3 linked regions of the Schizosaccharomyces pombe genome follow. The gene in region 1 interacts genetically with each later gene. Each region holds a gene or a part of one and is shown in the gene's direction. Other genes may lie near its edges.

The links.
Region 2: mutations in ucp12 (region 1) and pof7 together harm fitness more than expected from each alone (negative genetic interaction), as found in Schizosaccharomyces pombe (one large-scale study listed by BioGRID).
Region 3: mutations in ucp12 (region 1) and cyp3 together harm fitness more than expected from each alone (negative genetic interaction), as found in Schizosaccharomyces pombe (one large-scale study listed by BioGRID).

What each region holds. Positions count from the first base shown.
Region 1 is NC_003421.2:1,016,193-1,023,199, reverse strand, and holds ucp12 (ATP-dependent RNA helicase Ucp12), read left to right. Parts: upstream 1-1,885; 5' UTR 1,886-1,908; coding exon 1,909-2,172; exon of another isoform or gene 2,173-2,204; intron 2,205-2,243; coding exon 2,244-2,432; intron 2,433-2,491; coding exon 2,492-3,092; exon of another isoform or gene 3,093-3,133; coding exon 3,134-5,154; intron 5,155-5,197; coding exon 5,198-6,106; 3' UTR 6,107-6,504; downstream 6,505-7,007. Other genes in the region: SPOM_SPCC825.01 (ATP-binding cassette protein), read right to left, coding at 1-519. UniProt on the Schizosaccharomyces pombe protein: Probable ATP-binding RNA helicase.
Region 2 is NC_003421.2:2,370,941-2,375,275, reverse strand, and holds pof7 (F-box protein Pof7), read left to right. Parts: upstream 1-1,938; 5' UTR 1,939-2,196; coding exon 2,197-3,282; 3' UTR 3,283-3,762; downstream 3,763-4,335. Other genes in the region: U3 associated protein Utp25, read left to right, coding at 1-1,156; SPOM_SPCC70.10 (uncharacterized protein), read right to left, coding at 3,916-4,335.
Region 3 is NC_003423.3:1,102,959-1,106,591, reverse strand, and holds cyp3 (cyclophilin family peptidyl-prolyl cis-trans isomerase Cyp3), read left to right. Parts: upstream 1-1,922; 5' UTR 1,923-1,984; coding exon 1,985-2,014; exon of another isoform or gene 2,015-2,066; coding exon 2,067-2,131; exon of another isoform or gene 2,132-2,215; coding exon 2,216-2,233; exon of another isoform or gene 2,234-2,285; coding exon 2,286-2,332; exon of another isoform or gene 2,333-2,383; coding exon 2,384-2,451; exon of another isoform or gene 2,452-2,458; intron 2,459-2,528; coding exon 2,529-2,822; 3' UTR 2,823-2,908; downstream 2,909-3,633. Other genes in the region: ribosome-associated molecular chaperone Sks2, read right to left, coding at 1-136; SPOM_SPBC1709.03 (uncharacterized protein), read right to left, coding at 2,909-3,478, 3,517-3,633. UniProt on the Schizosaccharomyces pombe protein: PPIases accelerate the folding of proteins. It catalyzes the cis-trans isomerization of proline imidic peptide bonds in oligopeptides.

The sequences.
Region 1 (7,007 bases):
TGATTCAATATCTCCATCATCCAAAGCTTCACTCCCATCATCCTTAGATTTTGACTTCTTTTTCTTCTTCTTTGATTTTTCAGATGACTCACTCTCTTCCTCATCTAGAGAGAGATCGTCCATGTCGTCAGCAAGTGCATCAAATGCATTCTTAGGACTAGCCTTTTTGCTAGATTTTTTATTCTTGCGAACTGGCTTTTCGGAGTCCTCTTCTTCCTCTTCTTCAACGCTTTGTTCATCAGCAAAAGCTTCAAAAGCATTAGCCTTGGCCTTTTTAGATTTTTTAGAAGGCTTTTTTTTCACAGGAACAACTTCCTCATCTACTTCATCGTCTTCCGGCTTCAGATCATAATTGGAGTCGTTATCACTATTGAAAGCACTTGCTTTATTCAGTTTCTTTTTGTTCTTCTTTGCTTTGGATTTAGTTACAGGTTGAGGGCTTTCACTCTCAATCTCACTTTGTAAGCTTTCAAGCTCCAAATCAGCATCACGTTGAGTTGAACGCTTTCCCCTAGCCATTATCAAATTATTCTTGTTAAGATTAGATGAGTCTTCAATAAATGATGCAGAAAAAGTGCGCAACCAGCAAAAAATGTAATTTCAAAAGTAAAATAATCCTTGAAAGAGTTATTACAATTATTCTCTTTATTTAAAATTTTTTTTTAAAAGAATTGACCGATTATTTACCCAATTTTAAATGGACAAGCGACTTTTGCAGTTAGCTGTAGAGGTCAAATGGCATAGTGAAAAATTAATATATATGTGCAAGTGTTAGGGCCAACAGGAGGCAATTTAAGTCTGAACCTAAGAGGTTGAATTAAGAAAAATTAAACAATAAGAAGCATGTTTATAAGGATTCTTTGCTATTTACCATAAAAGTGTAGTCTCAGGCAATATTCGCAAAAAAACCTAGGAAATCTCTTACATTATTACATAGTTTATTAGGTAGCGAGAAAACCTGAATGATACGCTGGAAGAAATTTGTAAAGGATTTTTAGCTTTTTATTTTATAAACTTAAAGGGAAATTATAGTAATTAGGATCTAGTTGGGAGACTAGTCAACCATATATGGTAAAAAATACCTCTTAAATTTTCAGCCCTTAAGACGCTTGCACGGATATTTCCCCAGTTTATACAGTACAGATTTGAAGTAAACGCTTTAATCCTTTGATCCTGTGGAGAATTTAGCGAATTGTCAAAATCCCCAGGTCAACATTGCTCCATAAATTATGAACCTTTGCTAGTGCTAATGAATATTATTCAATTCAAACGAAGATGTAAGTCTGTTTATAAGTGAGCCAGAAAAAGTAAGGTCTCTTTAAGGATTTGCTCGAAGACAGGAAACTCATCATCATCTGAAACACTCATACGTCTCAATGATCGATCATTCTTTAAACGCTGTGGATTTATATAACCGGTATTTTGTCTTGAAACTTTGCGAATTGAATTCCATATTCTCAAAAGTGACGTTGAGAATGCTTCTTACTATTCCTGTTTGCGCCATGATTTGTTAAAATTGCAAAAGAAAAAGGTAATCCTGATCAAAAAAATTTCTAAATGCTCTTATACGCGTATGTCCAACTGCGTACTTATTACCAATGTTGACAGCTGTAGTACACGTACGGGGGATGTTTAAATCAATAGCAAAAACATCCTAAAAGAAATATAATCAATAAACGCTTTCAACGCTTCACAATAATTAAATTCAAACACCCAACTTTCTGATTTTCAATAACGCAATATACCTTCTTCTTTCATGTGTGATGTATTTATTTTACCAAAAATTTGATGGAATTAACTTTGACTTAGAATAAGAATTACCTTCTTGGATAAATTAGTTTTCTCAATTATTCATCAACTCAGCACACTGGCTTAAAAATTCTTTGCGTTCAACCATATTACCATCGAATGGGTTCAAAAGGAAAAAAGGGAAAATCATCGGAGGTTAATTTAGAAACTTCAAAAAACAAGGAAAAAAATATCAAAGGGAAAAAGAAAAACTCACTTGATCCAATTGAAAAAAATAAACAGGAAACAGCAGGCCTGCAAACGACTTCACGTCCTACTGCCAAACAGTTAGTAGGAGGAAGCTCTTGGACTGGAAAAATTCCTGTCGTTTTACTAAATGAACATTGCCAAAGAAGTAAATGGGAGAAAAGTGATGTTAAGGTGGTAAGTCAGCTCTTAAAAGATGCGAATTAACCAATCTATCGAACACATACTTACTAAAATCTTCTAAACAGAGGCAAACCAAATCTAAAAATTACATTTTTACTTCTGTCGTACTTGCTAAGAAGGACCCAAAAAACCCTTCGATATTAGACCATGTATCTCTGATTCCTCCCAAGTCCTATTATGAGAATGGCTACTTTCCTGAAAAAGAAACGTTAGTGGAAGCACGAAATGTTGGCGCCGTTTATGCTTTGCATCGAGTAAGGATCTATACTTATTTATTTTCAAGCAATCATTAACCAACTTTAATTTCTAACAGATAATGTCTCATAAATCATTACAACATGCCCTTCCACCTGAACATCGGAATATATGGTTTGATATGGAGAAACAAAAGAAGGAAGAGCTAAAAAATAAGCACAGCTGGCTTTACAATGAAGATCCCTTCAAAGCAGCCAAAGAACTACAGGCAGCACGCGCTTCTTCAGCTGCCAAACCACCGCCAAAAGCATCTCAGAAAAATGAAAAGGTCTCTTTGACATCTATCAAAAACACAAGCCTTTCACACTTCTCAAAGTTCAATTTCAAATATGCTCTTCCTATTCACATGAGTCTTGAAAATCGTCGCTCTCTAGAGAACCTTTTTCGCAATATGAACACGTGGGATATACTAGAGGATACAAAAAATTTAGAGCCCGATACTTCTATTGTTAATGATTTAATTTCTTTAGGTTTTCGAGACATTCATGCTAAAGAAGCTTGTCAGTACTGTGTTTCCCTTGAAGATGCTTTAGAGTGGCTAATCATTCATGTTCCAGAAGACGATCTTCCTACAAGATTTCTTCCTTCTGATTATACAACAGGAATATCTGTTCAGAATCTAAATTCAGCGAATCTGGCCATTCACTACAACGCTAAACGTATGTGCGTATGACATTTGTTCAACACTAACTATTAACAGGGATTTCGGAGACGGGCTATAGCTTTGACTTATGTTTTTCTACTCTTCAAACTTTTGAAAATAACATTCAAATTAGTTCAGAGTACTTACAGCAGCATCTAATTGGTGAAAGCTTTGATGGGAATATATCTTTGGAACCAAATAGTACCGAATGGGATGATGATGTTAGTGCTTTGCAATCTATTTTGGATAATAAGGTCTCAAAAATAGAGAATGGATGTAGAGTGCGTATTGACTACCCGACTAGTGAATTTGGTGAGCTTTTCGTCGATTTTAGAAGGCCTGCCCGTTCGTATCCTGCACACATTCCTTTAATGTCTCTATCCTCTACAAAAAGAATGGCATCCTATATTAAGTTGAGTATTCTTAAAAAGATGGTTGTTTACGCAATGGATCTTAGAGGTGAATGCATGTTATCCTGGTTGTATAATCATCTTCAGGAAAATATTGAAGACTTTTTACAAAATATTGGAAGCTTACTAAATATTTCAGCTGCAACAATTGGTGTCTCTTTATCCTCTCAAAACAAGTCTGCGCCGACTGCCAAAAAGAATAACAGTTTCAAGCCAAAATTATTTCGCCGTTCGCGCGAATTATCTGAAAAATTATGTAATAACTGGAGTGAGAGGGTTAAAAGTCCTTCATATCAATTAAAAGTTCGTGAACGTGAGAAACTCCCTGCATGGGAATCAAGGAGAAAAATTATGGACGCCATACAGCATTCTCAAGTTGTTGTTATAAGTGGTGAAACTGGTAGTGGAAAATCAACACAAGTAGTTCAATTTATCTTGGACCATTATCTTTCTTCTGGAGAAAAAGATTTGCAAACAGTTGTTTGTACACAGCCAAGGAGAATATCTGCGATAAGTTTGGCGGAAAGAGTTGCCTTCGAACGTGATACAACTGTTGGAAAAGAAGTTGGTTACAGTGTACATGGTGAAAAATCCATATCTAAAGAAACCCTTCTTGAGTTTTGCACTACAGGTTTGCTTCTTAGAAGAATTCAGCAACATGGTCTAGGCTTTTTGAGTACTTTATCTTGTGTTGTTGTAGATGAAGTACATGAAAGATCCATCGAAAATGATATACTCTTAACACTTTTGAAACTAGTAATTTCTCGTATCCCAAATTTGAAAGTCATTTTGATGAGTGCCACGGTGAACTCCGATACATTCAAATATTATTTTGGAAATGCTGGTCATTTACATATTCACGGCCGTACTTTTCCGATCAAGGATTACTACATTGAGGATTTTGCGCCTAAGCTAAATGAAGATGATGACGAGGAAGACGTTCCCAGAAGAAAGAAAAAAGAATATGAAATTGATTATCATCTTATTTCTAGACTTGTTAGTTCTATTGATGCTGAACTTGGTTCCTCTAGTGGTTCTATATTGGTTTTCCTTCCCGGTGTCTCAAACATAGCTCGTTGTATTCGTGAAATAAAATCAAAAGACGGCTCAAAATTTGAGGTCCTCCCATTACATGCCTCTTTGAATACTTCGGAGCAAAGGAGATGTTTCAAAACATACACAAAGCGGAAGATCATATGTGCAACAAATATTGCGGAGACTTCAATTACTATTGATGATGTTGTTGCCGTTATTGACAGCGGCAGAGTTAAGCAAATTGATTATGATGTTGAACGAGATCTGGTGACTTTTAAAGAGACTTGGGCCTCAAGAGCTGCTTGTCAACAACGCCGGGGTCGGGCGGGTCGTGTTAAGAAAGGAATATGTTATAAGTTATATACAAGAGGATTTGAAGAAAAAGGAATGCTAGGCCAAACACCTCCCGAAGTTTTACGGACGGCTTTAAGTCAGGTTTGTCTTAACGTAGTTCCTTTGGTCAAGAGATTTTCTTCTGCTGGTAATTCTGTGAACCAGGGTTCAATCAAAAAATTTATGAACAGCCTTATTGATCCACCGAATGATGCAACGGTAGACCTTGCTTTGAAAAAACTAATTCAAGTCGGTGCTCTCACCGTGTCAGAAGATTTAACTGGTTTAGGAGAATACTTAGTAAGTAATGATGTGTTTTTATGTGAAACTAATATAATTTTAGGTGTCATTACCCATAGATCTAAAGCTTGGAAAGCTTTTGGTGTTTGGTTCGATCTTTGGATATTTGGAACCTGCGCTTACTATTACAGCTATTCTCTCTACAAAGTCTCCTTTCTTAGGAGACGATGAAGCTAGGGAAATAAGGAGTAAACAAAGTCAAGGATGGGGAGATGTTTTGGCTGATGCTCGAGTATATCACAACTGGCTCGAAATACTAGAAACCAGGGGTGTAAAGAAAACAGTTCAGTGGTGTGAAGAGATGCATCTTCATTACACAACGTTACAACAAATTCGACAGAATCGAAACGAATTGAGCGAAGCTGCACAGCTACTTGAACTAACTACTAAAAAGCTGACTGGTAACTTTGATTGGTATTCAACTGAAAACCTGACTGTTCTATCGACTCTAATTGCTGCTGCTTTAAGTCCCAATGTTGTGAAATGTGTTTATCCTGATAAAAAATTTGTTGCTTCATTTTCTGGATCGCTTGAAATGGAGCAGGAAGCTCGCCTGACGAAGTTTTATGATCAAAACAACCAAAGGTTATTCATACATCCTTCAAGTACTATGTTTGTTAATTCTCCAAATGCTTCAAGATGTACGTTCGTGGCATATGAGCAAAAGGTAGAAACCACGAAACCTTTCCTTAGAAATTGTACACCTATCAATACATATGGAATGATTTTGCTGGGAGCAAATGATATACTCATTGATCCTCTTGGTAAGGGATTAATACTTGATCAAGCATATTGCATTAAAGCGTGGCCTAAAGTCGTTATTTTATTAAAAATGCTAAAAAGATGTCTTGATGCCTCATTACATGAGCGATTGGAATCTTCGTCGGGGTTAAACTACGAAAGTGAAATACATCAATGTATTCGTACTCTGATTGCAGGCAACGGTGTTTAGCTCCCCTTCTCTATTTCCTTGAAAGAGCATAAATGGTACAAATCACTTTTATTGTTCAAATGAGGCAGGTTATACCTAAAAAAAGATTATTATTTTGGAACAGTTTATGATCTTAATTTTTCAACTCAATACAGGACGGACACGATAAATTTTCTTTTAATATTTTATTGCCTTACTGACATTTAACATAAAAAAGGGATCATTTAACTCCGCGTCTACTTGCTTTAGGAGGTGCTGAATAAGATTGTTTATTTACCAACATAATTCATGTATTTGAAAATTATTTTTTTACTCAAACAACTGAAAAGCTAATACTTCCTTACCCGTTCACCTGTATTTACATTCCATTTTACGAGATGATAAATTTCATTAAAGTTAAGTGAAAACTTCGTTGTGCCTCAGTATCAGAAATATGGAGCTTAGCAACAGTAATTAGTATGTCTTTTGCACTCTCTGTAAGGATACGAAAAACTGTGTCGGCATTTCTTTGTAATGTATAATATAATGGAGGTAATATTACTTTGCTATCCTTAGTATGACTAGGGCTATAGAGTATACCATTATAAATATAATAATAACTTTTATCGACCTAATGGAAGAATGAGAGTTCATTTGGGCTTCATGCTTTTTATTAAGTTTTATTTTGGAATAAAGGATTAACTTGCATGTCATATTGTGAGTATCAGTCTCATGCCCAACGTTACTAAAGAGCACTCATTGTATAATGATAGCTAACGCCGCTCATATGGTGAATGATAACGATAGAACTAATTATACTGAAGCTTCGTTATTTCATTGTTATGACCCTCTCATTTAAATGACATATCTCGTACAACATCTCCTCCATTTAATTTACGAAAACTATAAATTGCCAAGTATTCTTTTCAATTCTTTGTTAAAG
Region 2 (4,335 bases), 1.4 Mb from region 1:
TAGTGCTTTTGAATTCATTAATTTACTTATTTCATATTCTGGGACTAATCAAGTAGAAAATCGAAAGCGTTTTGATAATGAATTCTCGATTGAAAAAGAAGTCATTTCAGAAAAAAAGCCAGAAGATTTTCGTTATCTTTTTTCCGGAAATACCGACGATATGTTTCGACTGGGTGTTAAATTTACAAGAAAAACTGTCAAGCTATTTTCCCAGTTTTACAATTCTGACATTATAGTTGCTAGTCCTTTGGGACTTCGTCTTGCTATTGGTAACAAGGGAGATAAAAAGCGAGACCTCGATTATTTGAGTTCGATTGAAATAGCAATGGTTGACCAAGCTCATGCTCTCGTGATGCAAAACTGGGAACATATTGAATGCATTTTTGATGAACTTAATGGTTTGCCTAAAGAAGCTCACGGTTGTGATTTCAGTCGTGTTCGTCCTTGGTATCTTGATCAGCAAGCCAGATATATGCGCCAAACTATACTATTTTCTCAATATAACAATCTAGATATAAATTCTTTCTTTTCTCACTACATGTCAAATATTGCTGGTAAGGTTAAATTTCGCTCGCTTCTTCACGGTGTTTTAAACCGCTTGGGGTACAAAGTGACTCAAACTTTTGTTCGCATTTCTGTCGATTCTATTATTAAAGTTCCAGATGCCCGCTTTTCCTATTTTACTGGTTCTATACTAGTACAACTAAAGAAGTATTCCCAGAGTGGTATTTTAGTTTATATACCTTCATATTTTGATTTTGTTCGTGTGAGAAATTACATGGATGAGGAGGGAATTAACTATTCTGCCATATCAGAATATTCGAGTGTATCCGATATGACTAGAGCCCGCAATCTTTTTTATCAAGGTAGAACCAATATAATGCTATATACTGAGCGCGCTCACCATTTCCGTCGATTTGACTTTAGGGGTGTAAAAGCTGTTGTGATGTATGGTCCCCCAACGAATCCTCAGTTTTATGTTGAACTTGTTAGAATGCCGATGAGAACCATCTCTGAAGGAAACCTTGACAGTGATGCAGCAAAGTGTAGAATTATGTATACAAAGTTTGATTCTATTTGCCTGGAAGGCATAGTGGGATATCAGCGTGTATCAAACATGTGTCATGGTAAACATGAAGTTTTTGAATTTCTTTAAAAGAATACGAAAAAAATTTTTTTAAAAAGGAATTAGGGGTCATTTGGATTTTTGGATGAAAGAGCTACAAAATTACTACTTTAAAACAATAGAATAGCTTAAAATGTACTTTATTTGGACCATTCCGCTTTGCTTTATTTATTGAGAGCGAATGAGTAAATAGCTACTTGAATGATTTAACTTGACAGTGCTTTTTAAATGTTTTCAATATATAATTTTTTTTATACTTATTTCAAGATTCATATAGCGATTGGAAGGCATCGTACATTATCAATGAGTTTGGTTTCGACTGTGTTCCCGAAACCATATCTAAATCTCAATTGCTTTTGACGAAGATATGCTGAGAATTATCCGAAAGCAAAGCGGGATATGTATCTACTCGTTTATTAACAATAAAAATCGCTATCATATTCACCATAAATAAATGCAGTAATGCTACATGAAGCTGGTAATTATTACAATAATTCATCAAATCGAAATGTTTTCTATATCGCTAAAATCCTAATATCCACTTAGCTTATTGCCAAGTAACTTTTGATTTGAACAAGTTTTAAGTTTATGTAATGGTTTCGCAAGTCCTAACGCCTTGTTAGAAGTGATAGAATCGAAGACACCTACAAATATGCCCATAGCCAAATAGCATCTCAAACATGTTACAATATTTATCTAGTCCATTTTTTAAACAGTAAAGAAGCGACGATTGACTCAATTTAATCTTCTTCTTCTTGTTATCAAACCGCCACAACTTGATATTAAACGCAACGGCTAACTACCCATGAACTAAACCATATTGTTACCAAAGTAAGGTCTTGTGAAAGGATGCTTTTAATCCTTAAATCCTTGTTAATACTTTGCTAGGAATTGTATGAAAAGTAAAAAACATAAAAGTCATTAGTTAGGTTCAGCACTATCTTAACCTCTTAATATTCGTGTTGAATTCTTTTTTTTTTTTTCTATTTTGAGAGAAATAAGTAAGAAAATATTTTCTTTTTCAATTATACATCTACTTTCGATTGCTCGTCTGAGAAATAAAATAAGTGATGAGTACAGTAGAGGATCAACTTTCTCTTGAACTTGAAACAGTGAACAAGGATATACTGTTGAAAAAAGCACTTTTACATTACAAAGATGCTATAAAATCTGAAAGAGAAGGAAATTTAGGTGAATCTCTTAATAAATATCGATTAGCTCATAAAGTCCATGAAGATGTGGAATCTATCTATCGGCGTTTGGAGCGTTTGCAACTGTGTAAAAGAAATGAAGAGGAGGAAATGTTAAATTCAGATGCATCAGAAGCTATGCTCACTGTTTCCTCAGTCCCATCTCCAACGTTAACGGAAAATGAGTCTGTAAATGAGTCGGTCGTTCCCAATATACTGAAGCTTCCCGACGAGGTTTTGCTAGTTATCCTAGAGAATTGCATTAGGGACCTTCATGATTTAAGATATCTCTCTTCAATTGCACTAACTTGTAAGCATTTTGCGAAGGCATTACGAGCAGATTCTCTATATAGATCGTTTTGTTATTGCAGTTGTGAACAAAAAGAATGGCAACAGTCTATTAAGTCAATAGAGGAAGAACTCGTGGAAAAATACCAGCAAAGCTGGAAGACTTTGTTCCTTAAAAAGCCTCGATCTCGTTTTGACGGATGCTACATATCCGTTTGTCGATACTTTCGACCTGGAACTAGTGACACGAGCTGGAACCAACCCATACATTTGATCACATACTACCGGTATTTACGACTTTATCCTAATTCAACATGTATCGTTTATCAAAGCAGTAATGAACCAAATGATGTTGTTCGCAACTTCAGTGTGCAAAACACCAGTCTTTTTTCTCCTATGTCGAGTTCTCCTATGTTTAGTAATGGAAACGTAGCACTCACTGGCTCCTGGTCAATGACTCCTTCTGGAGAAATGCTAATTGTGTATCCCGCAAGTCAAACTTATACATACGTTCAAAAACTTCAAGTTCGTGGAATAAGGCTTAAGTGGATTTCTTTCTACTCCATCCATAATTATACCTCATTCACGAACGAAATGCCACTCACTCACAATCGTGACTATGTTTTCTCCAGAGTATATAGCTATACTGCTGACTCAGAGTCACTAAAACGTGGCTAGTCTTACTTTTTGGAATACTAATTTAGAAACCGCGGAAATGATTAATTATCTATTATAGGTCGCATCGTGAGAGGATTTAAAGAAATTATTTTTTATTAATATTAATGCCATCATTATTCTTCGCATGGAAATATATCATTAACATACATTTACAAATGAACAACAGATGCTTAACAAATTTTTGGAAGTACAAAGTTATAAACAATCCTAAGTCCAAGGAAACATGCGTGATACTTGAGGAGAAAAGAGTAAATAGAATGCACAAAACTTAAAAAATAAAAGAGGAAAACCCACGAAATGGAATATTAAACGTATCAGTTTCTTGAAGTCCAGATCGAATATTCATAAAGAAAACCATAAAACCATTCGTAATCATGTTCGTAAAAAATCCCTGCTTTTTTACCACAAATAAATAAACTAAAGGCAACATAAAAAATCGCCATATCGAAGCATTGAATGACAAAAGTAAAACATGGAGAAATATCGGAGAGCAATAATTCAACATGAAGATTCCGTTTTAAAGTTAACAAACGGATTTATTTTGGATAATAAAATTAAAGTAAATTAGTTTCGTAAAGAGAAAAAGAGAAAGGATTAACGAAACTGTAGAAAATCGCTCATTTCTATTCAAAGCTAAACCATTTCCTCTGGAGGTCTGTAAACTGGTGGTGGTGAAGCTGGTCGTTCGTGATTTACAGCTTCGGTTGCTGCAGGGCTTGCTTCATTTTGGGGTGTATTGCTTGCAGTAGCAGCTGGACTATATGGAGGTGGGACTTCTTCAGGCAAATTTTCAGAAACGGTAGTAGTTGTATTCGGGTGTGCCATTACATGTGTATACCGAACAGAGCCACGACGAGGTGAGCCAATTGGAGATGTATATACAGTTGCAGGAACGTATGCAGACTGGGGAGATGTAGGTGAACGGCGAGGAACTGCTGTTGCGCCAGGCCTAGCGCGAGCTTCTGCCATGGGGCGTGTAGTTGCTGGTTTGGTCTGTCCAGCCCTTGCCTGTCGACGGCGAACAAAAAATCTATTGATCGCCATTCCAATAGC
Region 3 (3,633 bases), on another chromosome or scaffold:
AAGCGACAAATGAGGGAGTGGTACGTGCACCTTGGTCATTGGGGATAATCTCAACATTGGCGGTTTCCCATACAGCAACGCAAGAGTAGGTAGTACCCAAGTCGATACCAATAGCACCTTCATAAACTTCACTCATTTTCAAGCAACAAGAAGTTAAAACTGACCCTCGATTTTTTTGAGAGAAGTAGGTTATTGTGAAGATTTTTTTTGTGAGTCACAAGTATATAACAGTATCAGCAGTCACAAATAATATACATATATTTTTTTCATATTTCTTTTCTGCTATTGTATTTTATTATTTAATATATTTATTTTTCCATATACTGTATTTTCGGTCGAAATATGGATCCCGCAAATTTTCCCGATTTTTGTTTAACCCGCGATCAAGCAGGTGACTTTCAAAGGCAATTGTGTCAAACATAAAATTTCCGCTGCCCAAAAGAATTTTTCAGATTTAGGGTGGTAAATTTTTTTTCGTAAATTGTTAAATAAAGAATGACTTTACACATCATTAAATGATTTATTTTTGATTTTTTGGTTTCACTATGGCTCAAATAATGCTCTTTTGTACTACTTTAATTTTAGCCTAAAGTGAATGTGGTATATATAGTAAAAAGTAAATAAATGAAAGATGTACTAGAAAATCAACTAACTTATTTATTGTAGTGGTATTTATTGTATTTCTCTAGCTGGAATGAGTATTTATTTAACCTGATTTTACGCAAGCAAGTATAAAAATTACATTTTTTGTAAACTAGTTTATCATGCTGACAACTCCTTAGTTTATTTAATTGTGTATTTTAGTATCAAATAATAACTAAAGTATTCCAAAGTTTTCGCACCATGGAATTGTTATCGTTGTTTAGACTGTAACATAAAAACACTATTACTGTTGTTCATAATCTCTGCATTCATGGTCTGATAAATGTATATTGCCTGTTAAACAATTGATAAACATTATATCTATGAAGGGGATTTCGAATTTCAAACAGATAAAAACGAGTACACTATAGGTAATAGAAATTTTATATTGAATAGCTTAATTATCTCTTCACTACCTTAAAACAATTCTTTCGGATTAATGAACTTTTTATAAGGTCTTAAAAAAGTTCCAATACTGTTAATAATATGAAGCGTTTTGAATTTTGAAATTATTTTTATTTTTATTTACAAAATCAAAATACTTTAAAAAAACACAGAGCCAAAAAAAAGATAGAAAATATAGAACATATAAAATAAAGTAAATTAAATAAGTATATCCTCATAGCATGTGAGCAAGGTTTGAGAAAAAGCTGTTGAAAAACAACTTTAAAATATTCTAAAATCTAAAAGCGCTAGTAAAAATTAAAATTTCTAAAAGGAGCAAAAGTAATACATAATGATTTTGGGTATACTACAACAACTGCTATTACAGTTTCTGTATCTTCTTTCCTATTCATTTTTTTGGACAATTTATGTGTTTATTCTTCTGACTGAACCTTTCTGTTTACGTATATGTACATAGATGTATACTACTACTAAGCTGGTTTAAAGGTATGAGGATAAGGTTGATTTCGACTACAAGTTAGGAGCATCGGTTATAATATGAATTTTTAAGCAAAGAAAAGTGTTTCTTTAAAAAAAAAAAAAAAAAAAAAAAAAAAAAAAAAACAAGCTAGCCTAATTGTAGCGTAGTTTTAGCTGTAAGGATTCTTGTTTTTCGCACTTTTCCTGGGATACATAAATAAATAACGGAATGCGGATTAAAAGAATAATGAAAGCAAAGAAAAATAGATTTCTTTCTTGTGTAAATGATTGCCTTTGATGGATTATTTTAATGATTTTCGTAGAAATTCTGCTCCCCTCCAACTCGTGAAAGCCCAAGTCTCAAATGTTCGTCAACACCCAGCGAGTAAAGTGAGAACATACAAATTAGCATCTTCAAGTCGCAAACCAGAAAATTTTATGAGCATCTTCCAGACATTTACCAAATTAACTTGTTAAAATGAGCACCGAACCTGTTGTTTTTATGGATGTATGGACGTCGTATTTACTAAACTCTCGAAAATACTAATTTTGGACAATAGATTGCTATTGATGGGAGATTATTAGGAAGGATCAAGATCCGGTTGTTTTCCAGTATAGTCCCGAAGTATGTAATTAATAATCTAAAGCCAATTTTTAACTTGAATAATTATTGATTTATTGTGAAATAAAGTGCTGACATTGAATTTAGGACTGCTGAAAACTTCAGGTAATCAAACAATTGATTGTTGGTTTTCAAGATTTTTATTTCTAATAGTTAGACAATTTTGTACAGGAGAAACGCTTGGAGTTAATCAAAAACCGATCGGTAAGCACTTTCGGCCATCAGATTCAGACTACTAATTATTAAAATCAAAAGGTTACAAAAATAGTACTTTTCATAGGATTATTCAAGGTTTTATGATACAAGGAGGTGATTTTGTGAGTGTATGTGTTAGAAAAAAGACCGTGTCATAGCCGGTTTTTTACAATTATTCCTTTAGACTATATTAACTGATGATTAGGGAGATGGTACTGGCAGCGCGACCATTTTCAATTCACGTACATTTCCTGACGAAAATTTTACTCTCAAACATGATCGCCCTGGTTTACTGAGTATGGCTAATGCTGGGAAAGACTCAAATGGATGCCAATTCTTTATTACTACCGTTCCTTGCGATTTTTTGGACGGCAAACATGTCGTCTTTGGCGAAGTAATTGAGGGCTACGACATTGTTAAAGAAATTGAATCTACTCCTGTTGGAGCAAATTCACGACCCAAGTCAAACGTTGCGATAGTCGAATGTGGAGAAATGTAGGCACGATATTTATATATACTAGGTTTCATAAGAAGCAACTCTTACATATCATTAAAAATATCTAATTATTAAAGCAGAAAAATAGGTTATGTGGTTTTCTTGATGACTGTTGCAGTAGAAGTCAAAACATTAGCCAATTCTTCTTGTCCAATGCTAAACAATAACATTATGCTAAATATTAATAGTCCAAAACCAATAATAGTAAACCAAAAGAAAAATTGAAACTCCACAGAGATATCCTGCTTAGAGCAACTTTCTCCAGCCCATCTAATAGTTTTGTTCTGGCCAGCAGCATTTGAAACCACGGAATTGGAACATTGGCAGACATAACAGGAGTCCAACTGACCATACTTGGAACATCTTCCATGACCAGAACAATCATTGGTGGCCTTTGAGCAAGCTTCCTCAGATATATAACAGCGACCATTGTAATTCTTTTCATAGCTAGCAACGACTTCCTCTATTTCTTCTCCGAATGCTTCCATGTCTACTTGACGCTTATGATATCTAGTAGAAGTTTCGGAGGAATCGATAGGAGGAAGTAAAATAAAGGTATATGTGGAGGATACCTGCTTAATCATTGACAAAAGAGTCATCATATTCTCGCGAGCTACTTGGTAAATCTTTGAATCTTTACCATATTTCTCATACAAAGCCTAAGGTGTTAAAAAAAAAGACATAAAGAAAACCATACCTCTAATCCGACTAATTGGCCGATAACAATACTGGTATCGGACCGCTCTTGTTGCGATTTTGAGCTTAAAAATTCGACAAGGATTTTTAGAGCGTATATTTCAGAAAGGAAAACTCT